Nothobranchius furzeri: one gene and its partners. The main gene of each other region encodes a partner of the protein of the gene in region 2 in a complex. Links are inferred from orthologs where the notes say so. Each region holds a gene or a part of one and is shown on either strand. Other genes may lie near its edges. The genes, in order: lsm6, snrpg, gemin2, gpkow, prpf31, txnl4a and sf3b2.

Evidence for each region.
Region 1: snrpg (region 2) and lsm6 share a complex: the UniProt entries of both Homo sapiens proteins name them as parts of the U4/U6-U5 tri-snRNP complex. The link is inferred for Nothobranchius furzeri from reciprocal best matches to the Homo sapiens genes SNRPG and LSM6.
Region 3: snrpg (region 2) and gemin2 share a complex: the UniProt entries of both Homo sapiens proteins name them as parts of the SMN-Sm complex. The link is inferred for Nothobranchius furzeri from reciprocal best matches to the Homo sapiens genes SNRPG and GEMIN2.
Region 4: snrpg (region 2) and gpkow share a complex: the UniProt entries of both Homo sapiens proteins name them as parts of the minor spliceosome. The link is inferred for Nothobranchius furzeri from reciprocal best matches to the Homo sapiens genes SNRPG and GPKOW.
Region 5: snrpg (region 2) and prpf31 share a complex: the UniProt entries of both Homo sapiens proteins name them as parts of the U4/U6-U5 tri-snRNP complex. The link is inferred for Nothobranchius furzeri from reciprocal best matches to the Homo sapiens genes SNRPG and PRPF31.
Region 6: snrpg (region 2) and txnl4a share a complex: the UniProt entries of both Homo sapiens proteins name them as parts of the U4/U6-U5 tri-snRNP complex. The link is inferred for Nothobranchius furzeri from reciprocal best matches to the Homo sapiens genes SNRPG and TXNL4A.
Region 7: snrpg (region 2) and sf3b2 share a complex: the UniProt entries of both Homo sapiens proteins name them as parts of the minor spliceosome. The link is inferred for Nothobranchius furzeri from reciprocal best matches to the Homo sapiens genes SNRPG and SF3B2.

What each region holds. Positions count from the first base shown.
Region 1 is NC_091744.1:10,586,904-10,590,928, forward strand, and holds the start of lsm6 (U6 snRNA-associated Sm-like protein LSm6), read right to left. Parts: upstream 2,801-4,025; 5' UTR 2,712-2,800; exon of another isoform or gene 2,671-2,711; intron 2,651-2,670; exon of another isoform or gene 2,546-2,650; intron 2,301-2,545; 5' UTR 2,289-2,300; coding exon 2,195-2,288; intron 1,382-2,194; coding exon 1,268-1,381; intron 904-1,267; exon of another isoform or gene 789-903; intron 1-788. UniProt on the Homo sapiens protein: Plays a role in pre-mRNA splicing as component of the U4/U6-U5 tri-snRNP complex that is involved in spliceosome assembly, and as component of the precatalytic spliceosome (spliceosome B complex).
Region 2 is NC_091755.1:44,511,917-44,516,195, forward strand, and holds the start of snrpg (small nuclear ribonucleoprotein G), read left to right. Parts: upstream 1-1,479; 5' UTR 1,480-1,600; coding exon 1,601-1,632; intron 1,633-1,808; coding exon 1,809-1,831; intron 1,832-4,279. UniProt on the Homo sapiens protein: Plays a role in pre-mRNA splicing as a core component of the spliceosomal U1, U2, U4 and U5 small nuclear ribonucleoproteins (snRNPs), the building blocks of the spliceosome.
Region 3 is NC_091758.1:40,480,325-40,484,403, forward strand, and holds the start of gemin2 (gem-associated protein 2), read right to left. Parts: upstream 2,801-4,079; 5' UTR 2,680-2,800; coding exon 2,558-2,679; intron 2,481-2,557; coding exon 2,399-2,480; intron 2,301-2,398; coding exon 2,211-2,300; intron 2,105-2,210; coding exon 2,018-2,104; intron 1,860-2,017; coding exon 1,743-1,859; intron 1,501-1,742; coding exon 1,456-1,500; intron 1,385-1,455; coding exon 1,316-1,384; intron 1-1,315. UniProt on the Homo sapiens protein: The SMN complex catalyzes the assembly of small nuclear ribonucleoproteins (snRNPs), the building blocks of the spliceosome, and thereby plays an important role in the splicing of cellular pre-mRNAs.
Region 4 is NC_091755.1:41,971,939-41,976,113, forward strand, and holds the start of gpkow (G-patch domain and KOW motifs-containing protein), read right to left. Parts: upstream 2,801-4,175; 5' UTR 2,590-2,800; coding exon 2,294-2,589; intron 2,137-2,293; coding exon 1,976-2,136; intron 1,747-1,975; coding exon 1,601-1,746; intron 1-1,600. Other genes in the region: membrane-associated guanylate kinase, WW and PDZ domain-containing protein 3, read left to right, coding at 3,733-3,815. UniProt on the Homo sapiens protein: RNA-binding protein involved in pre-mRNA splicing. As a component of the minor spliceosome, involved in the splicing of U12-type introns in pre-mRNAs.
Region 5 is NC_091745.1:76,602,936-76,605,408, forward strand, and holds the end of prpf31 (U4/U6 small nuclear ribonucleoprotein Prp31), read right to left. Parts: intron 1,117-2,473; coding exon 988-1,116; intron 901-987; coding exon 802-900; intron 727-801; coding exon 613-726; 3' UTR 501-612; downstream 1-500. UniProt on the Homo sapiens protein: Involved in pre-mRNA splicing as component of the spliceosome. Required for the assembly of the U4/U5/U6 tri-snRNP complex, one of the building blocks of the spliceosome.
Region 6 is NC_091751.1:22,094,955-22,097,982, reverse strand, and holds txnl4a (thioredoxin-like protein 4A), read right to left. Parts: upstream 1,786-3,028; 5' UTR 1,641-1,785; intron 1,459-1,640; 5' UTR 1,431-1,458; coding exon 1,278-1,430; intron 1,152-1,277; coding exon 1,048-1,151; intron 962-1,047; coding exon 790-961; 3' UTR 501-789; downstream 1-500. UniProt on the Homo sapiens protein: Plays a role in pre-mRNA splicing as component of the U5 snRNP and U4/U6-U5 tri-snRNP complexes that are involved in spliceosome assembly, and as component of the precatalytic spliceosome (spliceosome B complex).
Region 7 is NC_091742.1:75,394,453-75,398,681, reverse strand, and holds the start of sf3b2 (splicing factor 3B subunit 2), read left to right. Parts: upstream 1-1,429; 5' UTR 1,430-1,472; coding exon 1,473-1,602; intron 1,603-1,996; coding exon 1,997-2,043; intron 2,044-2,164; coding exon 2,165-2,215; intron 2,216-2,542; coding exon 2,543-2,773; intron 2,774-3,269; coding exon 3,270-3,339; intron 3,340-3,432; coding exon 3,433-3,530; intron 3,531-4,229. UniProt on the Homo sapiens protein: Component of the 17S U2 SnRNP complex of the spliceosome, a large ribonucleoprotein complex that removes introns from transcribed pre-mRNAs.

The DNA of each region.
Region 1 (4,025 bases), on a different chromosome or scaffold from region 2:
AGACACTTTTTCTGCACGTGCTGCAAACAGGATAGCCGTCTTCTATAAACTGTCCCTCGGCATTCTTCAAATATTCAAAAAATGCCCGTACTTCCCACTTTGTTTTCTTTGAGGTATAATAAATGTCCTGCGCGCTGCCGTTTCCTCCTTTGGCCATTATTTCAGCTTTAGCTTCAAGAAAGTTTTGGTTGTAAACAACAAAGTGCGCATGTGCCGCTGGCAACTTCAACAGATGATACGGTGGCTGGTAAGGGTCACCGCGCCTACACCGCAGCCACGGTAAACCACCGAGATAATATAGTTTTTTTAAAAACGGACGGTTATTATTATTGTCAACTTTTTTTTATTTTACCGGGGTTTACTGCTACACCGGTTACCGTGACAACCCTACCTGATCGGTCTGCTTTGATCCATTTTGAAAACTCCGATCAAAACCGATAGGGGCGCTATCGGCCAGTTGGGATCAAATGCCGATCCATCGGTGCATCCCTAGTAGTCAGTCGCAGCTGTATCTGCTCAGTCTAGAGAGGCACCACAAAAATCACACAGGTATCAAAATATTCCCTAACCCTACTTATTAACCCTATTAATGTAGAAGTTTACACTTCCAAAATATTCTATTTAATATTTAAATTCAAACAGCATATTATATTTAAAAATCACCCAAAATTAGTATCACTTTGAGGCAACACAAATCAGTTTCTGCCATCAGAAGCTAAATCAGTACATTTCTAATGTAACATAATGAATTAATTAACAAACGATGCTGTAAAATAGTAGCATTTTACCAGTTTTTTCAAAGCAGCAACAAAGGGGCTCGATGTTTTCATCGGAAGTGAGCTTCCTGTATAACTCCGACATGGTTAGTTTCCCAACTTTAAAAGGGAATATCTTGTGGTTTTCCTATAAAGATAGGTTTGAGGTGCAAAAATGCTTAATGAGAAAATGAAAATAAACATCTTGTGGTGCATGACTTTGAAAGTTTCATTTAAAAATTGTCAACAAATTTAAATCTCTAATCACTTTGGATTGAAAAAAAAAACCTAAACAACTGAAAGATCTATTAGAGCACACAGTGTAATAATGTTGTCTCTGTGAGCTAATAAGAATGAGGCTAGGAAGTTGACTGCACCAAAGACTCAGATCATGGCAAATGTACAGCCTTCATAACCTGGAATGTTTAATCATTAAATATGACTTGGAGCTATAGTAACAGAGGAAAACGGTGTTGTATAACGCCCTGCAGCGTGAAAACATCAAATCTTACCATTATTTCCTCTCAAAAAGGCATCTCCATACTTGTTTTTGAGTTGTCCATTGACATACTCCTCCGTCTGCTCTATTGCGATGTTCATGTAACCATCCAGACAGGCCAAAACACCTGCTCAGAGACAAACACAAACTTCAGATTAAAAATAAACTTACCTGGGCAATAAAACAACAACAGACCTGAACGTGCCAGCTAGGGAAGAGGGGCATACTGTTTTTTATGCATTTTGATGCAAACATAAACCATTACAAATTCATTCAAAAATTATCAAAACAGATTTTAATAATGATCATTATTTAGGTGAGTGTAAAAGGCAGACATCTGAAGTGCAGAAGTGTGGCACATTATGGTGTGCAACTGGGATGGAGTTTGAGTCTTGACTGAAGAAATAAATACATCAAATACTGAAAAACTGAACATTTTAAACTGTAACAAAGATGTCTGAGTAGGAGTGTTGTGTCAAAAAGTGTTCCTCCTCCATGTATCTGTGTAACCTGTGTGAATCTCTCTTTAGCTTGGTAAATGAATTAATATCAACACAAACACAAATAGTTTGTTGAAGATTAAAGCAAAATTTGGTCCTCACGAAACTTTTCAAGTTTATTCCAATTACTCAGCATTTAACTGGAGTTTAACTGCAGTAATTTAACTGTTTTTCAGTTAGTGTTTGTTTCATAGTTTCTAATCCTATATGGGATTACATCATTCAACTTCCTGTCTGCCTGTATAAAGAACTTAACTGTAATGAATTAAAAGATCATTAAAAATTAAAAGTAGTTGTCAGGGGGTCATTGTCTAGAACTAAACATGAGGCAGAAGGCGTAAAAAGATGCATCAATGACTGCTTAACAAACCCTCTGATTCATAACCTAATCAAACTCTGAGAACCCTAAACATTCCCACACCTGATGCCAGCTGCATTACCTCTGTAATCAACACCAGAGTTCAGTTTGACCACGACAGGTCTCCCAATTATCTGCTTCAGAAAGTCACTCGGGGTCTGCTTTCTCAAACTCATTTTCGCTTTTATCTAAAAGAATAAAACAGATGAGTAAATCTCATTTTATCACAATAAAGAACCGCATTAGCATTACCCTAATACACATTTAAGCTATAATTGATTATCTAGTAACAAAGGCATTATTCAAACCCGAGAATATTAAAACGAATAGCTGTAGCCAGATAGTACACGCCTAAATGCAAAACTATGTACGGTTAAAACGTTCAAATTATCAAATGAGCTTCTATGTAGCTAGCGAGCTAAGTGCTAACTACCAGCTATTCCGTGGGTCAGTTCGTTAGCCTCTAATAGCGTAGGAGATTGTTTAACAATAAAGTACAATGTACAGGTATTGTTACATCATAACAGATCCTAATAAGATAGGAAATAGATGTTTTACTAGTTTTACAGATGCGAACACCGAGCTAGCAAGTTACTCACTGGATGAACGATCTCACAACGATTTTATGTTCGGCGCATTGACCAATCACATTGGAGGACTACGGAAACTATGTAGGGACAAATGTCCTGAAAGCGCAAAGTTTTAATTCGATAGACAAAACAAGAATATTTAAAAGTACATTTTAAAAATACGATATACCCATTTCCTTTAACAAGTTATTTTCTATAAATGTATTTCTAATATGTTGTAATTAATATTATATCCACTGGCTTTCATATTATAATATACTAAAGTTTTTTTGTTTTGTTGTGCATTGTTATACTTTGAATAAACTGAAGCATTAGTAATATTTCTATTATGTAACAAATTCATACAGAAAATGAGAAACTACTGTAAATATGTAAAAACATAATATTTCATGTGAATGTCTCATTGTATTATTTTACTATTCTTTTTACAAATTCAAAATTTATCTCAATGTAATGTGGGATATGCACAAATAAGCCTATTCCAATTTCAGGTACATTTTCTTTCTTCTTGATCTGTAAGTGTTCAAACGTTTAAAAGAAAGAAAGAAAGAAAGAAAGAAAGAAAGAAAGAAAGAAAGAAAGAAAGAAAGAAAGAAAGAAAGAAAACAATCTTTTCTGTAGCTCCTCTCAAGACAAAAATCTCAAGGCACTTCACAAAAATATAAAATATAAAAAAGGTTTCAAAAAATGATTTAAAATATGTTCAAAATAAGCAAAAATAGACAATTGTGATTAAAAAGGCAAAGAGAGAGAGAGAAAGAAAGAGAGAGAGAGAGAGAGAGAGAGAGGGAGACAGAGAGAGAGAGAGGGAGAGGGAGAGGGGGAGACAGAGAGAGAGAGAGAGAGAGAGAGAGGGAGGGAGAGGGGGAGACAGAGAGAGAGAGAGAGAGAGAGAGAGAGAGAGAGAGAGAGAGAGAGAGAGAGAGAGAGAGAGAGAGAGAGAGAGAGAGAGAGAGTGAACAGGAAAGAGGGAAATCAGTGAATCTTGGGGAAATGGGAAAATGTGCACAGTATGTACAGTCTATGATGTGCACTTAAAAAAGACATCTTTTCATTCTTATAAACACATCACTTGTAAGTCGCTTTGGACAAAAGCGTCTGCTAAATACATAAACATAAACATAAACATGTGCCTGGTGAAATATTTTCTTATTATAACAAACATTTGTTAACATCACAAAAACTATTGAACCAATGGAAAACTTTTTTGTAGTTGTGAAGAAGTCTATGAATAAAGTGTATGAAAACAAATAATTCTTTTAATTATTCTAACGAGTAACCAACTTCGGGTTTGTAAAAAATATTATAGACACACACACACAC
Region 2 (4,279 bases):
GAGTTTTATTCCATTTACTCCATGTGTATCCATCCATGACGTCAGTTCAGTTGAGGTGTGGTATAATGCCAGGCTAATTGGCAGCATGGTTTAGTAGTGTGGTACTTGCAACAGCAGTACCTTGGTTTGACCACCAGAGGTCCCTGGAGATCATATAATTTGTCAGTGCCTCTGAGGCTGGAAGTCACAATATTTACTCTGTGTTACCCTTGAATGTGCATCATTTGGGAATATATTTGTTTTTGCTTAGTCTTAAACGTTGGCATATTTACTTCACCATTTGTACAATCCTTTTACATCATTCTTTGTATTTATTTTCCAGACCACACGGAACCACAGAAATGTACAGATGTCCATACTTCAACTGTCATTAAATACGTAAAACTGTCTCTCCGTGCCCTGCTCTCTGACCGGAGCCCTTATCTTGAAGATACTGTCAGATCAGCAAATAACTTCCAGAGTTCCCACTCTATCACATTGTTACTGGTCAGAATAAAGGTAGTGATGTCATTGTTACTGGTCAGAATAAAGGTAGTGATGTCATTGTTACTGGTCAGAATAAAGGTAGTGATGTCATTGTTACTGGTCGGAATAAAGGTAGTGATGTCATTGTTGGCGTCAGGCACTATTCCGGAAGGGCAAACAGGTTTTTGACCGCTGTGGCATGAAGACGTTTGAATGGGAAAGTAATCGGATTACTCCTATCATTGTTACATCCTGGAATGCAATCAACATTAAACAAGAAGCATTATCATAACAACTCCACGCTTAAGGCTGTTCAAGTAATTTAGTCAACATCGGATCAACACAGAGCGTCAACCAGGTCCCGGTCTAGCAGCCTCAGGAGTTCGAGTAATGGACTTGACTTCTACAGTTGCCTTCTTGAAATCACAATCTGGTTTTATTGTGTTCTTAGATATTGGTTGTGGGCTTCCATGAGTTTTCATAGTCAAACTTGGTTTCACTGAATTTTATTTGTTGTTTTTTACTTTGTCAAAAATAGCTCTTCTTCCTGTTATCTGTTGAATCTGCTTAATTTTAACTATACTTTTTAACTTGATGAGAATTTACAGAAATGAAAGAATAACTTTAAAGATTAGGTTAAATTGTGTAAATTATACAAACTGCACAACAGATTTCCATCCTGGAAAAGAAGAGAACGAAGTTGAGCTGACACTGCTGGGAGCTAGGGACTCCGGTCTGACAGGTAAAAATCAGGCAGCACAATGCATCTCTGTCGTTCAACAGCAAAATAAATGGTCAACTGAATACAAACAATAAGGTAGAAGGAACATAAAATATGCACTTATTAACATCGTTTTACATTTCAAATACATTTCAGTATAATATGTAATACTTACGTTTACTTTTGCTTTTTTGTAAGATTGACAATAAAATTGTAAAAGTTGTTTGAAACAAAGTGTTCTTGCAGATATTTGCAGATCCAACCCTAACACGTTCTCCTCCCCGCCTCGAGGGGGCGTAGTGGGACTGTAAACGCTAACTGCTTCACTTCCGGTCACATTTTCCTTCCGCGGTTTTGTTCAACGTAACCCCGACGAGCTAGCTCACCGGACTTCGGTACAAAAAACGATACAGAATGAGCAAAGCACACCCGCCAGAGCTGAAGAAGTAAGTTCACGTGTTTAAAAATAACAATTAGAAATTATTAATTTTGTTTCCACGATTTTAACGGAAAGAACGTGTTAGCCTGTTAGCTTTGCTCCATTCTTTACCATGAGGCTAACATTAGCAACCCTGCCTGAACTGTGAACCACCGTCGCCTGAAATGTTGTTTTATGTTTCAGATTCATGGATAAAAAGCTTTCATGTGAGTATGGCGTTTTACGAATATGTCTTTAAAGCCCCTATTGTGATTATGAAGAGTTTATAGTTTTAAGGTGCTAAAACATTAAAACCACGTGACGGAATAATAATCGATTGCATTTGTGTTGCGCTTTACATCACGACAATCTCAACGCGTTTAGAGGAAAGGAAAATGTTGATTATGAAAGATGAAAAGCTTTACTATAAAAGATCTACTAGAGAGAAACGTTTTCAGTCCTTCTTAAAAGCCGCTTGTAGGTTGGGGTGTGCTTAAACTCTCAGGGTAGGGTTAAAGGTTAGAGGGTGGAGGGCATTGTCCTCCGTGGTGCTCAGCCTGGTCTGGGTCTATGAAGCAAGTCTGACAAAAACCAGCAGATTTAAAATCCATCTAAGTCAAATCAAAAGGCTGAGAAGGGTTGGGAACACCAGAGCAGAAGGTGCAGCACGAGGAGCAACGACTGACAGGAAGATGAATAAAGAGACCAGAGATGGGGCACATCTGAGCTCGCGGGGAAGCTGATTTCATCTGTGTGCAGCATCACCCTGCTTGGTTCTGACCCGGTGCAGCTCAGGTCTGAATCAGTTATGAGTCTTTGTCCTTTAGCTCTAAACTGTAATTCTATCTGTGTGTGTTGTAGTTAGTGTTTTATCATGTCCTGGTGACTGTAAAGCACATAGGATTGCCTCTGTGTTTGAAACGTGCTCGAGACATAAAGCTGCCTTGTCTTCGTTCCTCTGGAGCCGAGCTGAGCAGTAACGTCCATCCTAACCTTCTGATTCCCAAAGACGATAACTTCAGTCTCGTCTTTGTTAAACTGGAGGAAGTTAGACTGCATCCGGTCGTTTGCTTGCCTCAAACACTGACAGAGTGAGTCTAGGGATAGGCAATTGTGAGTATACACATGCGCAATAATAAATATATTTCTTTGATAACTTTTAAGAGATCATTCTGTTGGTGTAAAATCATTTTTTAGGCATGTCAGCTAATGTTTGGTTAGATTTTAAATGTTTGTATTTACTTTTGTTTATTTAGCTGCATAATTGGGGTAAATAGCTTGGTTTGCAGGGGTTCTGTGAAGATTGTGCAGGGTTTTTCCTGCATTCAAATTAGAGCTGAGGAAAATAATCGATGCATCGGGATGCGGACATAAATCGTAGAAGAGTACGCCGTAATCGATTATAGTGGAATGTAGTTTTGTTTTTTTAACGGCGGCACCAGCATCTGTCAGAGTGAGCGTCCTCCACATTTACCACGTGGTTCCGCCTTGATGTGGTACTGCATTGCTGAGCGCTAGAGTTGTAACCTGAGCCGGAACCAAATCAGCCCGACCGGTTCTGTTGGATTTGGGCCGTGAATTATGTTAATTGAGCGGGTTGTCATGTGGCGCGCTCCGCTCGATCAGAGAGAGAGACTGTCTACTCACACGAGAGGATCGCAGGACGCTCCTCTAAACCGATGCTCCAAACACGCGTTATTGTTTTCATAATTTCTCCTGGAAGCGCTCAGTCAGACTTAGGGATGGGTACCTTTGACATTTGAATCGATCCGGTACTAATTCCCGGTACCTAGGAATCGATACCGGTACTTAACGGTATCAATTTTAGATACTTTTGAGTGTTTATTATTTTAATTCTCTTTTATAATTAAATATATATTTTTCTCAATATATAACCATATTTGATAAATATCACGATAAAAAACATACAACTGTTTGTATTTTAACATGGTCCTTGTAGTTTTATAAGCTGATAATTAAACTGAAGCAAACGTCTTTACTGTGAACTAAATTTACTGTGTATCTTCATTCCTTTTGCCGTCTTTTTCATTTGATTTTTCCTACTGGGAAGTTAGAATTTCCGAGGAGAAAGCGAACGCACCATTAGCTGATAACAATAGTAGCAATGGAAGCTAACATACCAAGCTAACGTTATCTTTAACAGTTTATTTAGCTGCTGGAGCAGATTAAAACGATGATGCCTCACACTTAGATCGTTGTCGCTGGTTTCATCTTCACCCAATCACCCGTCGCATTTAGTAAAGTGAAGCCAAACTTTAGAGCGCGTTCATGTTATTCCAGTCGGAAATTCGAAGTTCCGAGGAGAAAGCGAACGCACCATTAGCTGATAACAACGGTGGCAATGGAAGCTAACATACCAAGCTAACGTTATCTTAAACAGTTTATTTAGCTGCTGGAGCAGATTAAAACGATGATGCCTCACACTTAGATCGTTGTCGCTGGTTTCATCTTCACCCAATCACCCGTCGCATTTAGTAAAGTGAAGCCAAACTTTAGAGCGCGTTCATGTTATTCCAGTCGGAAATTCGAAGTTCCGAGGAGAAAGCGAACACACCATTAGCGAAACGGAAGCTAACATATCGAGCTAACGTTATCTTAAACATGTTATTTACCTACCGGAGCAGATTAAGATGAGGATGTCTCACTTAGATCGT
Region 3 (4,079 bases), on a different chromosome or scaffold from region 2:
ATCGGAATATTTAAAGGAATCTTTGCTCGTTCAATAACCAAATTTACACCATTCTGTGTTTCATTTCAAAGAAGAGTCAGGTTTAAAAAGTTAAGAATTTATAACGAACAATTTAAAGATGACAATTTATAACAGCTTTGATATTAAAACTTGGTATTAAAAGCAAACCTGTGTCTGGATGAAAGCTAAAATGAAATGCGTGTGTTGGATGTGTGACTGGAATCTCAGAAGGTTTCTTTCAGAGAGAAACGCGTTCTGGGTGAAAGAGTTTGTTTTGCAGCTAACTAAGTTGTTTCTTAGAGATGACAGCATCAGACGCAATCTGTGTTCTACCTCACCCATCAGGCGACCCTCTGTGTGGATCCGGAGGTCAAGGAAGGATGTTGTCAGCCTCTGGGTACTCGGTCCGGTAGGGAAGGCGCGAGTGGTACCGACTCTCTGGTCCAAGAGTTGCCGCTGGCACACAGGTGTTGAGTTTGCGTCTTAACTCTGAAGGAGTTTTGTGTCAGCTGGTGCAGGTGGCGTTTATTCGGAGCGATTCTATCAGCGTGACAGAACAGCTTAGTGGAGGCTTCGGGCGGCCGACCCTTGTCCTCTGGGACTCTCGTGCCACGGAGAGGTTTTGGTTGGTTCAGAACTGTCAGCTTGAACTGAGGAGTTTTGGGTTTTATTAAAACTCAGAACACGCCCTCTCAGAGATAGAAAGCTTTGGTTATGGAGCAAAGACATGTGAGGTGGTTACCTTTACCCTGAATTCAGTGTCCTGCATGGTGTGTATAAGTGTACATGACCTTCTTTACACTGGTAAACATTACTGATTATCATAAATAATAATTATTAACCAAAGAATAATAATTCATTTCAGTAATTAAATACATTTATAATGAACCGTGATGATTATTTATGAACCTTGTAATAAACAGTGAAAAGAGTTTATTAAAAATGATTATTTTAAATCTTGAAGTGTCCTTCATCTTAGGATGGAACAGCAGACAGATTAAAGGCAGTCAGATTAAAGATGGTTCTAGAAGACTGTGCGTCTCCTGTGATGGATAATCTGTGGACAGAAGTTCAGCCAGGACAGCGTGACCTAGCTGGGGAAGTGTGACCTTTGGGTCACAAATATGGCCATTCATGTCGCTACATGTATGCAGTGTGTAAAACTGTTCCTACGTGCAGATCTGTGCATAAGTTTGTTTGATGAATGAGGGCCCTGGAGTTCTAACAATTTATTTTCGTGCGAAAATTTAAAAAACTATATTTCCACTAGCATTAGATTTGTTGTCAACCAGCTGGAGACGAGAAGCAAACTCACCAGCTGTGGAACAAACTCTCGCTCTTCAAACCAGCTGATCAGAACATCTAACAACATGAGAACTGTGGACTGAGACAAAAATATTAAGACTGTTAAACTGGCTAAAAACAACATGGATGTCATCGTAGACCCCCGTTTACCTGGTTTAGTCTGCTTACGATGCTCAGGAAGGGAGGGAAGCCAATCTAGACCCAAACAAACCATCAGTGAGACTTCACTTCCTTGGTCTCATGAAGGTGCCACAGAATTTTCATGAGTGGCGGATCATCAAAGGATTAAATAAATACACTTTATCTGTTTAGATTGTTTGCTTTTGTGGGAGAAGTAGAATGTGGAAACATCTCAGCTTTGATCGATTTAAATCAGGTAAACTCATTCTGAGGAGTAAGCGCTCACAAAGGCAATAAGGTGTAAACAGTTGTATAACCTTGCCGTAGTCCAATGCTGGTTCTTGGTGTGCATCCGTCGGGCCGGATGAAGTTCCCTGATAAACGTTCTCCCCTAAACAAAACCTCTTCCAGCCCTCCTCATCGGTCAGCCTCGGCTGTAAGACACCAGCGTCAAGCTTGCATAAACCAAACCTCCAGTGTGATGCTGCATGACAAGATTCTTACAGGTGCTTCAAATCCACCTTAACATGGGATTTCTGTCTCCCCTTGAAAGAATGCTGATTTCGGTTTGAGTAGTGAATAAAAATCTCACCATCTGCACGTTGTCATCCAGAATTTGGCTCCTCCAGTGTTGCCTGTTCTTGGTGATGCTCTGAGAAACAAAAGTGACTAAAGGACACTGTCCAGTGTGGACATGTTCGTAACGTGTGTTACTGTGTGGACATGTTCGTAACGTGTGTTACTGTGTGGACATGTTCGTAACGTGTGTTACTGTGAAGTCTCACCTGTCTGACGTCAGAGAAGTTACTGACTTGCTGCTGTTGCCACCTGAGGCTGGGGGAGAAGCCCTGAGGAGCAGCATGACATCCTGCTACCTGGAACCAAAACATGTTAAACATGTGGTGTGTGTGTGTGTGTGTGTGTGTGTGTGTGTGTGTGTGTGTGTGTGTGTGTGTGTGTGTGTGTCACTTACCGACACATTAACAGTTTGCTTCTTCAGTTTTGTGGGATCGATCTGAGCAACGACCACCTCCGGGCATAAAGAGGCCTCCAACCTAATGAAACACCAAACTTATAAAGCTCCGTGGTCGAACATGGTTCTGATTCTCGAGACGGTTCGGCTCGAACATACTGGACCTGTCGGAGGTACTCCTGGGGGTTTCTGGGGGTTCCACTCAAGTCCAGGTTTCCGCTCCCGCCTCCGGTCTCCAGCGGCAGGAGCCTCGGCATTAACTCCTCCACGTCCGACTTCATGTTCTAATAAAGTAAAAGAACAGCGGAACCGAATCAGGTAATGAAAAACACGCAAGTTTCACTACAGCACAGTCGCCATCTTCTTCTTCTTCTGGTGTTTTATTGGCGGTTGGCGAACAACGAATGGTGCATTACCGCCACCAACTGGTGTGGAGTGTGGTCTGGAACAGCGCTCATAAAACAAAATCAAACACGGGAAAGAAAGAACAAAAAAATACATATATATACACACACATACATACACATATATATACAAATACATATATACATCAAATTCTCCCAAACATCCTTATCTCTTTTAAAAACTGAAATAAAATCAGAAAACAGTCGCTTTTTGAATTCTGTCGGTCTAGTTTCACTTTGATCTGTCTAAGATTTTGAATCAATGTCCTTCTTCCTGCCTGATACTTCCGACATTGTAATATAACATGAACTATAGTTTCTTCTTCTCCACAATAATCGCATTTCCCTGTATTATGTTTCCCCATCATGAATAACGTATTGTTTAACCCAGTATGTCCAAACCTCAGTCTAGAAATGATCACCGCCTCTCTCCTACTCCTTCCAGTGTTTCTTATTTCTCCTACTCTTCTTTGAATTTTATACAACCATCTTCCCCTCCTTTCCTCCTCCCATTGTTTTTGCCATTTTTTCTTCATTTCTCGCCTTTTTATGCTCTTCATCTCTTTCTGACAAAATCGAACATCTAACTGAACCGAAGTATTTATTGTAGCTTCCTTAGCCATCTTATCGACTCCTTCATTTCCACTGATTCCACAACGAGCTGGAATCCATAAAAAATGTACTTTAAGTCCCATCGTGTTTATTCTATAAAGTGTTTGCTGAATCTCTAGGAGTATGTCTGGTCTGCTTCCTGAATGGCTGCACGTTAAACTGGTTAATGATGAGCTGGAGTCTGAACAAATAACTGAGAATAATGGTCTGTTTTCTTCCACCCATCGAACTGCTAACAGGATTGCGAGAATCTGTATAAATTTTTACATAGTTATAATAGTGATCGATATAATCCTGTGCTGTATGTGAGTTTAGTATGAAAGACTTATCCATATTCTTTCTCTCTAATAATGATAAATCAACAGACGCCTCAGGAAGAATCCATGGCGGAACAGCAGGTAATGGAACTCTTTGACTGATTGTAAACCGATCTCATTTAAGTTCTACTGGTTTTTTGATCATCACCCATCCAAAACTTGTTGTTTCCTTCTTTTCTTTCTCCCAGCAAGGTTTTGGTATGTCTCGTGTTGGATGATCTTCTTCCTGACCCTGAAGATTTGCCCAATAATTTAAAGCTATTCGTTCTCGTCTGATTGCTATTGGCATCTCACCCGTCTCTACCTGTAACGCTGCTATTGGGGTTGTTTTAAATGCTCCAGTACAGA
Region 4 (4,175 bases), about 2.5 Mb from region 2:
AGTAGCAGACGTTTTGTACTGTCAGGTGTTTTCGTGCCCTCACTGAGGCACCTGTCCAGAAGATTCTATCACAACCTTCCCGTAGCATCCTCAGACAGATAACGAGCTCAGACCGACGGCCTTCCTTCACGTCCGTCAGGAAGTGAAGTTTAAAGATTCGTTTGTTACTGATGAAATTGTCACTGCTGATTTCTTCAACCTGTCAGCTTTTTCTGGATTTAACGTGGTTTTTACAGTTTTCACTGTCAATTACACAACCTAGCCGGTTTTAAGTCAGGCACATCCCCAGGCAGCCCGGCACTGCTGCAGGATTTAATTGTATTTTTATGTTCCTGAATAGCATCTGCTTTAATTAATGCTCTAAAAATTATTTCCACCAAAAATAAGAGTTTGTTTACCAGTTTTGAGCATTTAATACTCGGTCAGTATCCTGATTTGTTTGATTAACTTTAGTGAGACGTCTGGTTTTAACACTGAGCAGTGCACAAGATTAAAATTTAACAGTTAAATTTAGTGTTCAAAAACCGATTCAGCTTCTGAAATTTTGTGCATTTACTGGTGTTACCTGTGACATATTAGCATGAAAATAGGGCGGAAAACATCTAGACATGAAAATCGGCACAGAACATTGGCAACACTAATCGTCCATCAGCTGTCCGTAACCTTTACACGTCGGTATCGGCAACAGAAAAACCATTATCGGTCGAACTTTACTTTTCATGGTTTGCTGCTAACATCACAACCAAACGTCTGTGAGGTGGTACAATCCTTTAACAAGCTGACGAAGATGATGTAAGCATGCCTTTTGATTAGGAATGTGTATTTTTGAAATTCTTGTGATACGATACATATCACGATACAGGGGAGACGATACGATATTTCACGATATATTGCGATACATTCAGTCAGACGTTACAAGCAATTTTTTAACTGAATTTATTGTAAGAATGTTCAATAAACAGTCCAAACTGATACGTAACATGTTTAACATGAGGTATCTGAACCATGATGGAGGGATTTACATTTCAGTGGTGGAAACAAAACCCGCTGCACACTGCTGCCAACTAGCGGGTGCTGATTGAATTGCGCAAAACGAAAATACACAAATGTTTGCATGTAAATTCTTTCAGGAATTAGATACACGGCTTTTGAATATCGATGTAATAATCGCAGGAAAAAATATCACGATATATTGCCACATCGATATTTCCGATACACGGCTTTTGAATATCGATATAATGTTGCTGGGAAAAATATCACGATATATTGCCATATCGATATTTTCTTACATCTCTACTTTTGATGGATATTGGTAGATCCGGGTGTCAGATTGCTGCAGTAGCATGTACACGTGCTTTAAATTAATCATTAAGATAAAGAATAATTTTGCTGTACTTTACTAAACCTTTTAAAGGTTTATTCCATTTGTTTTATAAATCTAAAGGTTCTGGTTTGTTGCATTACTGACTATAACAGATGGCTTGACTTAAGCTGCTCTAACAACAAAATTGTGAATAATTAATTTTTCTATCTTTTCTCATTCGTCTGGTAAACTTTGCATACTCCTAAGTCTCTTACAGCCCGTTCTGTCCCCACTTACAGATTCAGGCCGCAGGTCCACCTTTACATGGTCTCCATCCTCAAAACCCTCAGGGACTTTGTTCTGCATCAACAGAGGGATGGAGAGGTCCAGGCTTCTGTTCGACTCTGCTGCATTCTGCCATTGCTCCAGCTGCCTCCGTGAATCTACAAGCAGAAACACACAACGTCACTGATAAAGATGGTTTTCTTAGTGTTGGGTAGGAAAGTAAAAACTGTCTAATACACACACAAACCGGCCATGGAGCTCGTGCTCTTAATTGTTTTACAGTCTAGCAGGAAGACACTTCCAGGATGGGCTCCGTTTGCGAGGGGGTACACATTTTGACACGCAACCATTCATTGTCCAACTTCTGCATCTTTTTCAACCACAAACCTTCAATGAGTTCTTTGACAGCTTGAGACTCCACCGAGTCTTTGTCTTGGACCGAGCCGCGCGCTGAGCCTCCACTCGGGTCCGCTCGGTCCGGTTTGTGCCAGCGGTTCTTCTGGATCAATGGGATGATGAGCTCTTTGGGCTTCTCGGTTGGCTTTGAACTGCCACGGAAGACAAAAGTTAAATCTTTAAAGTGTCCCGGGTAGATACATTACACACACCACGTAAAAGTGTGGTCAGTCAGATTTAGAGTTCAAACGTCACCACTCCGTTTACAAACCACTGACAGCTTTAGCCTCTAGCTAGCGGTTAGCCTACCTCTGTAACTCATTTCGGTCGATTCCAGTCAGGTAATCCTTCTCGTCGGTCTTGGCTGGAATGCCGCCGGCTGCGGGTTTAAATTTGCTGACAGTTTTTGTGAAACCAAACGATACCGCCGCTGCCTTTTTATCTCCTTGGTTCTCGGCGGCACCTGAACCGTCTCCGTGCGACGCCATGATTGTTTGTGGAAGAAGAACGATGAGGGCGCAGTGCATTCTGGGAGATGGGGTTGCGTTAACGAGCCCGATAACCACTCTAGGCTGCAATTGACTACAGATCCCATCATGCCTCATAATAAGAGTTCTTTAAAGGTCGCAGGCAATCCGAGATTTACTGATTTATTTGTGAAATCCGTTGGTTATTAGTAACTAAATAATATATCAAATCATTTAAAGTAGTTAAACAGACGGTAATTACACTGACACTTGATTTAAAATAGAAAGGTACTGATGTTTAACACTTTCATTGTGAACATGTCTAGACTTGCAGGTCTATTTTTGAAAAGCTGAAACATCGCTCCGTTGAAGCGGTCATCTTGTAAACCCCTATAGTTTATCTGGAGCTTTTTAGTCTCCTGTAATAAAAAGAAACAAGAGCTGAATGAGTTGGATTAATGCGTGGGTCTGACTCCTTTAAATCGCAGATAGTGAAGCGGACTCTGGTGCTGCTGATGCAGGTGTGTTTTAGGCAGAATGTGGGCGGGGCTTTTAACTCCTCCTCCCAGTGCCTCCTGAGCGCCTGAACTTGTGAGGTTAACCTTTTCATTAGCCATGTAGCCTAATGTTGCTGTTTTTTTCTCCGCATTTGCATGTCAGCAGCATGAGCGCAACCTTATTACTATTTCCGCACCTGCTTTTGCGCAACCTCTGAAGTTCAGCGACACCTTTATTTGCTGAACCCGACATTTGTATGATTTTTTGGGGGGTAATTCGGGCTTTTTCTGTATGCATGATGGATAAACGATGAGGCGCAGAGAGTGAACATGGGGGTAAGAAACGCACTGTTCTCTTTGCACAAGTTAAAACCTCCCGTTTGGGTCACAACCATCCACGCCTTCTTGTTTTTTCCTCCTTTCTCCTTTTTGCTCGCAGCAATGTAGCAGCTGCTGAAATTATCTGCGACCGCCGTCAAATCTGCCCGATAGTGTGTGTGTGTGTGTGTGTGTGTTTTATTTTCCTCTCTCTCTCTCTCTCTCCTGCTCTCCCCGCTCTCTCGCTCTCCTCAGCTCCCAGAGCATCACTAGTGTCCAAACATCCCGTCAGCCGTGCGCATCGGCTCTGACTTTCTCCGCTGGCTCCGGCTGATCGCCTTTCATCTCATCTCCTCCAGACTCCAGACTCTTCCTCGCTCCTCCTCCAGCTCCTGCTGTTGCTCCAAACCAAACAGGTCGCGTTATTTATTAAAGTGCTGCTCCTTTTTTAACCTCGGCAGGGTCAATGTATATAGACGCGTTCAAACGGATCCTCTTTGAAAGGCTGAACTGCTTGAAGAGAATGTGTGTGTGTCAGCGGCAAGGCAGGTCAGTATTCAGTCTAAATATGAGAAATCTGAGAATCTGCTTCGTGTGTGTGTGTGTGTGTGTGTGTGTGTGTGTGTGTGTGTGTGTGTGTGTGTTTTGAGAGTTTCTTGATAGCTTTTCTATTTTCTTTATCGGTTTCAATCGCCTTCCTCACAAATTGCCTTAATGAAAACTAAACAGAAGCTCGTGCTCAGTGCACCTGCACCCCCTTTGCCATGAATAATAGACTGATTCAAATACTCTGTGGTTCACAGCCAGGTGTGTGTGCATGCATGTGCATACAGGAGCGTGCACAAGTGCCCTGCAGCCCTCTGTATGTGTGAGAGTGTTTGTTTTGGGTGTGTCCCAGCTCGTTTGGGC
Region 5 (2,473 bases), on a different chromosome or scaffold from region 2:
TGGGGTCGTGTTTCCAGACTTTCCTCGGTGGTCCGAACGGGCGGAGTGTTAAACAAAAATCCAACTTTTCCATTTTTAAGTGTAATAGAGGAAAAAAGAACTGCAGATCTGGATGATGTTAAACTCATGTTTCGGATCAATTTTTGATTTTATTTTAAGGAGGAGGTGTTGAAGGGGGGAAAAAGAAGATGCAAAGTTCTGAGATCTGCCTTTAATACATTATATTTTTGGGGCTTTTAAGGTTTTCAGAGAGGAAGGTCAGCTAAGAAGTCGCAAAAATGTGAATTTCAACCGTTTTCTCATCACAGTTCTGCATGGGAGATGTTATAAAATGGGATTATGAAACAGTTGTAAAATTTCAATAAATACTTTTAAGAAATTACACATGGGTGTGTGGTGGTGTAAGGTCTCGCTGCTCCCAGGGGGATTCGCTCTGCTTACAAGGTGGTTAAACCTAACAGGTCAAAGTTCAGGCGTAAGGTTCTAAAGGTGGCACACGCTTTGGGGTTTCTGTGGTTTATTCACATGAAGAAAATGGTAAAAAAATAAAATAAAAGCGAAGCACAATAGGGGCTAATTTAATGTACATGATGATGTCATCACTGAACACGTTCACATCTTAGCATCCTTTTTGACTTTGAGGAACTCCGCCATGTTGGAGAAATATTTCTGGTTGGCTTCAGCCACCTTCTTCTCTGCAGCCTGCGGGTTCACAATCTCCAGGCCCTGCAGATGAATGAATGAATGAATGAATGAAAAGCAGAAAGTAGAGAACTCTTCCACTGATCATCCGGTTCATACCTGGAGCGGAGTGAAAGCGACGCTGGAGCTGGTTCCCGAGGAACGGTCTCTCACTGTGGATTTTCCGCCATAGGTCATGCTCTGCTTCTGTAACGTCCTCTGTTGTGGTTGACAACAGAGAACAAGGTTCAGATCATGGACTATCAATAATCTGGAGGTGGAGATTAAAATAACGACCGAGTTTACCTGCAGCGACTTGGAGATCCTAGCCTTGGTGGCCTCGTTGACTTGAGCCTGCCGGACTCTGCCGCTGCCGCTCTTGCCCAGCTGACCCAGACTGAAGCCCAGATCCTCCTGATAGGCGTCATCTTCAATCTGCAACATCAACGAGCTCAAATCCTTACGGTCAAATAAGCTTTAAAGTCCTAAAGGGGTCGGAGGTGAGGGGGGGCAGAATGACTCGGGGCTGTTGTCCATGATGTTCAACCTCCCAGAAGAGACCGCACAAGTTGCTGTTTGAGGGAACTAAAATTCTCTGTAAATAGCCAGCTAACTAAAGTTAGCATAAACTGGTTTTAATACATATGTTGTGCTCTCTAGAGACGAATGCTTTGCGAGTCGTTTTCAGCTCTTGGCGCTACCGTTTCAGGAAGAAGTTAGCCCGAGGAGTGAGGGATGGAAAATGACGAGATTCAAAGTCTTCCTCGTTAACGATGATGTCTTACTCCCACAAATAAGTCTGATCGTGTTCTGCCATGTTGTGAGGTCACTAATGCTAACGGGGAAATGCTCAGATTAGAAAATTCCTGACAGATCAACGTCACACCGTTGCTCAACATTCATGGAGTCATCTTAACTCGCAACGGGGAGGGCTGTTGTTGGTTTAGCGTCAAGGAAACAGCAGAGAACGTCTCAGCTAGGGGACGCTAACTGTTAGCATTAACAACTTCACCACACAGCAGAACTCCTCCAGGCTTGTGTTATTTGTGGAGATAAAACATCAACGTTGAAGTTTCAGTAGAAACGTCATGTTGCTGTTAGCCAATCAAAAGGCGAGATGTTTGAACATCATTAATATTAATGAGCAAGATAGAATTCCCGCTATTTTCTGCCTCCTTTCCTCCCAACAAACTTCTACCTCACGAAACGGGAGCGCCAGAACTTTTTATTACCACAAGCATTAATTCACACTTGAGACCACAGCAGAGTTAAAGAAACAATGAGAGAACGACTCATTTAAGAGATACAAGTATAAAAACATTTAGGATGCTTAAAGAACCCCAGATCAAAGTCACTTTTGAAAGAATAAAGTTGAGTAGTTAAAGAGCAAGTCACCCCCTACCAGAGTATTACTCAACTCCCACTTCCTGTTTGAAAAATGCAACAAATGCTGTTTCCTAGCAGAGCGAGAGGGCGGAGCCGCTAGGAAACACACACACACAGGCTCACAACGACACTATGGTACCAGCTAACGTTCTAGGGTACCTCTTAGCCAATAGCGATGGCAGATTTAAATTCAAATGCAGTGCAGAGTTTTTACCTGACAACGGCACAACACTGACAGTTTTAGGCTGGGGACAAACCGGCCGCCGAAGCGCTCACGAAATTCGGCCGCAGCTCACTGCTCCTCAGTTCAGACCAGCCGCTTGTTTCTCCGCTCTGGTCGAGGCGCGCCTCGTAGTTTTTCTTTTAACCACTTAGTGTCCTCCATTTCCTCTCCGCCTTTTCCTCT
Region 6 (3,028 bases), on a different chromosome or scaffold from region 2:
AGATTCCAGGTATGTCATTAAAATGGTATGATTTCCAACATTATGCACAGATTCGTTTTATTTAAAATACTTAACATTTTAAAAAGCCTGTCTACTATCTTATTTTGCATAACCATAATTAAATAAGATCATATATTCATTATATTTATAAACTTATAGCCATATTTTTTAGCCAGTCATTAAAAGCCTTCTAGAATTAAGAGTATTAACAACAGAAAAGCAGGATTTTAAGTTTTACACTCATAAATCTATCAGTCTTATACTTAATGATGTGGTGGAACAGCTTGTACTCATGATAAACATGTTTATTTTATAGGCCTTAGAAGTACTAGATAGACTGGCTCTGTCCAGGGTGAACCCCGCCTGGTTGCCCAGTGACAGCTGGAGATAGGCACCAGCCCCCCGCGACCCTACATGGACAAGCAGGTTCAGAATATATATATATATATATATATATATATATATATATATAAAATAAATTAAAACACTACATTTAAATCTTAAGTAAAAGTTTTTTATTAAAACAGTTACAAGTTGTACAATATTACCGATGTGTTCCACACTGACATATTTCACAGAAATAAGCCTTAAAAAACACAAAACTTAATATTTATGAAGCTACGTTTGCAAAAACAAAAAGTGACATTAAACCCACCATTATCAACAATGTCCTGTTTTACTACCAAAGGTAAACACGCTGAAGAATATTCCTGAACCTTTTGTGTTTTTTGTCTCTTCATTTTGTCAAATGAAAAAATAATAAACTGAACAAAGGAGGATGAAAAAAAATCAGTATCTGTATTTTGTAGAGTAATCCTTGGGAGACACCACCAAACCTCTTCCTTTCCTTGCTCCTCGATACACAGTTTCAACAATATCTATCATCTCCTGTTTGTCCTCGATTATCCAGTTGATCTTGTTATTGTTACCGGTGCCCAAATCAATCATGATGTGTTTGTTCCTGGAAGAGAAAGACAAAAATATCACCTTAAAATATGTTTACTCAGCTGCCCTGTCTATTGCAACATGTGGAACTGGAAGAGCTACCTGAAAAAGAACATGACAGTGCAGGGGTCGTACAACTCGTACATCTTATTGAAATCAGGCACTTCTGTGATGTCCACGAGGTAAATGACAGCAAAGTTCTTCACCTGTAAATAAACAAACCAAGAATGAATTAAACATGGCATTTGGAGCACGCCAGCAGGTAATGTGACGCGACTCCTGAATCTGAGCCAACCGGACTTTATATAATAAAGACAGGAAACAAATCAAACCTTTTCAGCGATGCTGTAAAGAACCTCGTCCATCTTCATACATGTTGGGTCCCAGTCGTGTCCGAAGCGGATGACGAGGACTCGGTCCTCCTCAGACAGGATGGCTTGGTCGACCTGCCATCCATTGTGGAGATGCGGTAACATGTACGACATCTTGACTCAAAAATGAGCAAATTCTAACCTGAAATGGATCAAATAAAGAGTTCAAATCGATCACAGCTGAACATTAAATTAAACAAACATCTCTGAGTACCAGAGAACGGTTTGACCGGCAACAGCTAGCTAGCTAGTTAGCGTTAACCATGGATACAATCTGAAAGACACAATTATGAAACTTCCCACTAAATATTCTGAAACACTTACCCCAAAATATAAAATAGAGTATTTAAGTGGCGGGAAGAAAACGGACTAACTATAGATAAAGCAGCTATGTTCAATGTGACTTCTTTTAAACCCCACGGAAAACAAACGCTTCACGACGTCATCAAATCAGCGACGCAGGAGACGCGTTAAATTTACGTCATAGTCGCTCAATTCGAAAAACTCTTTTAAAAAGTCCCAATTTATTTATTTATTATTTTTTAATGTGAAAGCCGCACACAAAAAATAAAAATTTTAAATAATTAATTATTTGAAATAATTACTTTTCACTCCAGCAAGTACTTTTAAAATAAATATATTTACGTTATGTTTTCCAGCAATATCTTTTTGGATGATCATCTTTTTGGATGATCAACTAGAGAAATACTTCTAGTATTAAATGTATTTCGTATTCATGCATGGAGAACAAACAGATTTTCAAACAGCTCAATAACAAACAGAAATTATGTTTACAGTCTAGATAACATAATTAGAAATTTGCAACATGAATACATTTTTTAGGAAATCTCGGAGCACTCTTTATTTGTAAAGCTTGTTTGCCACACTTCAATTAAAACGTGCACGTGTTGTTTGTGTACTTTACAAAAAAAACTGTTAATATTTGATGCTGTGAAGTATTTCTGATTCTTAACAAGTTCACAAATTTAGAACAATGTGTATATTTGGCACACTTGCTGTAAAATGGATACAGCTTGAAAAATGATTAGTTTGGAGTTTTACTCTGCGTTCAAACTCAAATTCTTCCACAAAAAGAGATTCCAAAGAAAAATTTGTAAAAACCCAACCCTAACTCATCATGCAATGTCAAATACTACGTGTCGTACTTGATTTTTTGCAGGCTTCCTAACACACTTTGTAAATAATAAAATGTAAACCCTTTTCAAGCACTTTAAGATGGAGTTTTTAAATATTTTCCAGCACGTTACACCGGTGTTGCACAGAGACCGTTTATACTTGTTCACAACAATCACGTCACTTTGCTGTCTCATTAAAGGAAACGTCTGCACCATAAAGTCAGTTTCAGTTGTTTTCAAGGACTTATTTAAATGCTGAAGCACTTTTAAAACTTGAAAATACCATTACGAATAAACAAATAAATCATCAATCTTTCAGTCTTACTTAGATTTAGAGACGTTATTTTATTTAAAGTGTGGGTGTACAATTCTAATAGTGGAAAAACACGAAGAAAAAACACTTATTGTGCAATTTACTGCAGTACAATCAAAGAAGAAAAAGATAGTATAAAGGTTAAAGAAAAAACGTTCCAGTCTGACGACATAGCAGCACATTGTGGCACTCCCTAGAGAGAGAGAGTCTAAATGATCATTAGATATGTCTAAAAGTTATATTTTTTTCATTTCATGACTAAT
Region 7 (4,229 bases), on a different chromosome or scaffold from region 2:
ATTGCCACATTAAACAAGAGAGCGCCAAACACCCAGTCACTATTTCTAGATTCAAACGTCTTTTGTTTACCATGATTTCCAATGGTGGAGCATTAAATGAGCATTATGCATGGATAAAAGCACTATAAATCTGACCATGTGTTATGTAGCACCTACGCTGTGGGCGAAGAGATTTTGGGGTGACATCATATATGCAACATCTGATTTGTAGTCTGTTTTAATTACAAATTTTTACAAGCTAATACATCTCAAAATATTTGAAAGACACAGAAACACACATAAATACTTTTCATTTGAATTGAAGTACAAAAATGTGCATTTCAGGGCGTAAGGCAAAGCAGATTAGAAAATAGATTTTATAGCCTTGTTCACTTGTATTCGTTTTTTTCTATGCTCCGGGGACCTATGAGCTGACCGAAAGGGGAGGAGAGGCAGTTTGCTCACCAGCACTTGGGCACCAGGTTCGTGTCTTCTTGACAAAGTATTGCTCAAGTGCATGCACAATACGACAATTAAAACTCCACATCTAATGCGCACAGCTGAGATTTAAGCCAGCAACCTTCTTGGTGCAAGATGACCATTAAGAAAAAAAGCTGTACTTTGATTACATTTTACTTTTAAATTTTGTAATTCGTGAACCAAATTTCAAAAATGAAACTAAAAAGTTTCGCTTTTGTTAATAAATTCTCTTGTGCCAACACTGACATCCCGTGGCCACATGAACCAACTTCCAGCACACGTTTTTTAGTTGGGCATGGGTTTTAAATGACGTACACCCATCTGGGGAATTCTTACGACAGAGATGTGGTTTCGAAACAAATAAGTGTGTATGGTGTGATGATAAAGAAACCTCTGTTCATTTATTATTTTACTGCATTTTCTCTGAAGCTCTCTGGAATGATATCCATGACTGGCTATACACAAAGATACCTATTGAACCCTTTTCTGAGAACGATGTCATTTACGGTGCCATATTAGATAACACTGAATGGGACTTTCTGGTAAATAACATAATCGTTGTAGCTAAATTTTACATTCACAAATGTAGATATGGAAATGTGAAGCCAGATTCTATGCATTTCATAACGAGTGTCTTTCTTTCTCCAAAGCCCTTAAGTTTATGAAAAGTAAACATGCAATGAAACTCCTTAATCTTTTTGAAAAGTATGATTTGAAAACAAAGCCCTAGCTCTTTGTCTCTTTTTTATTTATTTATTTTTTTCTGTTTGTTCGTTTCGTTCACAAATATTCTTGCGTTCTATGCAAAGTCTCTTTTGTTATTTTTTGCACCTGATCCCGGGTAATGTAAAACAAAGGAATTTATGCCATGTTAATTGTAAATGAAAAAGTTCAATTTAAAAGAATTTTTTTTTTAACGTTGTGGCACGTTTCCCACAATGCATTGGTCCAATCTTCTTCTCACTCTCGCGTTGTTTCCGCTGCCGCCGTTGTTCCATTGAGAGAAGCTCAACATGGCATCCGACGGAGTAACGGGTAGCGATTCTCTTTCGCCTGATTTAGGAGGTGCAATCGCAGCTTTAAACACATGGAGCAATCCGGAGCTTCAAGCCAAGCTGGCTGACCTGGGCGCACCAAATATGGGTAAGAAATACTTGGAGGGCACTCATCGAACAATGAATTTAGCTACCAGGTATTAGCCTTCCGTTAACTTTAGCTAGCAGTTTGGTAACGCATTATTAAAGTAGGCCAACTACAGACTCTACGTGTGTTTACATTCACTAGAGCACAACATAGTGAATCTACCTGCGTGATTTGTGACGTTTAAAGCAACAGCTAAACGTTTGATTGGTTTGGGTCTTCTATTTAAACGTATTTATCTTACGTTTAGCTTATTTTGCTAACTTTGAGCGTAAGTCTTTGCATTTACGCAGTGTAGCGTTCTGTTTGTATCTTATTGAATCAGTAAAACTTCGAATTTGTCTTGCGCTCCTGGAATCACTTCCTTGTTGTCTAACAGTTATTTTCTCTCATCCAGGTCCCAGAGAGGAGCTGATTGACAGACTGAAGGGCTACATGATGCAGGTAAACGCTTTAGAAATGTGATTCTGGTTTTTCCACTTCCTCATCACGATTTGTTTCCTAAAGAAACTTGTTTTAGTACTAATTTATCTACTGGATCTGCCCGTTTGTTTTTGTCCTACAGACAGGAATTATCCTCAGCAAACCAAATGAAGACAACCCAATGGGCGTCCAGGTAAGGACTGATCAGATTGTTGTGACGTCACTGTTTAATGTACTGATACACTTTTCTGTTGGTCTTAGAGTTTTTTTTCATAAATGTCTTCTTGTGTTATCACAATATTTCTGGCAACCATCAAAAAACGCAGTAAATAAAACCAAGAGTCGCCATGGTGATCACTGCACTGTATAGATTTTAACAACACAGGTGGATGAGAGACTAGATTTAATTGTTTAACCACATTATCACAAAACAAACAAATGAAACTTGTGAAAACTGAGGTTCAGTTAAGCTCATGGCTCAGTGGGTGTTTGCCTTTAATTTACTTCCTTCTTCCTCCAGATGCCAGGGTTACCTTCTCTTCCCCCATTACCCATGCCTCCAATGCCCCCTGGCATCGGAATGCTCCAGCCTATGGGCATGATGCCCGCTGGAGGTCCTCCTCCTCCTGGTTTACCCTTAGGAATGGAGCACGGACCCCTGCTGCCTCCAGCGCTGACGCAGGACGACCAGCTGAAGATGGCTCAGCACAGGGCGGCCATGGTTCTCCAACAGGAGGAACGAGCCAAACAGGTGAAGCCCTCAGACCATCATGTTCCGTTGTTGGTTTAGAACACTACACGCTAAGAATATTATGCATTTGGGAGATTGTGGGACGCTGAAACAACAAAATATAAATCAGAAATAGTTTTTTAATTGGGTTAGTTGAGGCAAAATCCTGTTGTGAATTGTGGATTTTTGCTCATTCTGGTTACAACAAGAGGTGAACAGGACCTTCTAGAGCAGCAGAAAAGGCAAAGATGTTCCGTTTAATATTTAGGGGAGCTGAAGGCCCCGTTTGCTCTAACAGAATGAACCTTTCACTTTGCAAAGTGATGATTTTAAGAGCCTTTTCCCCACCTAGTGGCCAAGTTAGATATACATCTGCTTCTTGTCTAATTGCAGGTAATCGGCTGAATAGAAGCCAACAATCCAGAGCAGAGCTTTAACTAAACTCAGGGGTTTATCTTTAATCTGCACTTCCTACATGTTCACCTTGTATTTATGTCTCCCCGTCTGCGTGTGCCAGGCTGCTGTGCTGCTGGAACAGGAGCGTCAGCAGGAGATGGCCAAGCTGCAGCCCAGGTCTTTGCCCATTGGTCAGTCTAATGTGTTATTTCAAATAAAAACACATAACTTCATGTAAGTCCAGTTTCTACAGCAATGACCACTTTTTCAAAACTCTTTTTCAGTTTCTATCTTGGATCCTCGTGGGCCGCTTCCTCCTGGTGTCACGTTGTTGCCCTCCCAGAAACAGAGGGTGCCCCCCCCTCCAGGAGAAGACAAAGAGGTAAACAGACTGAAACGGAGTTTCTCCTGTTGCACATGGAAGTCCTACGCTCTTAAACACGAGATTTTATCGTCATGCTGCTTTTAGGGATGGGTACCGAATTCGGTACTTTTTAAGGTACCGACCAAATTCCATAGTACCGACCGAGCACCGATTCACTTAATTTGAAACGGTGTCTCGTTTCGGTACCCGTCCTTCACAACGAGAACTTGCCTAGACAGCTGCGCATGCGCAAGAGCGTTAAGTCATCGGTCGCTGCGAGCCAGTTGTAAACAGAGCAGCATGGTAGAACGAACGAACGCTTAAGCTTGGGTCCACTTCACTAAATGCGACGGGTGACTGGGTGAAGATGAAACCAGCGACAACGATCTAAGTGTGAGGCATCATCGTTTTAATCTGCTCCAGCAGTTAAATAAACTGTTTAAGATAACGTTAGCTTGATATGTTAGCTTCCATTGCCACCGTTGTTATCAGCTAATGGTGCGTTCGCTTTCTCCTCAGAAATTCTAACTTCCCAGTAGGAAAAATCAATTGAAAAAGGACGGTAAAAGGAATGAAGATACACAGTAAATTTAGTTCACAGTAAAGATGTTTGCTTCAGTTTAATCATCAGCTTATAAAACTACAAGGACGACGTTAAAATACAAACAGTTGTATGTTATTTATCGTGATATTTATCAAATATGGTTATATATTGAG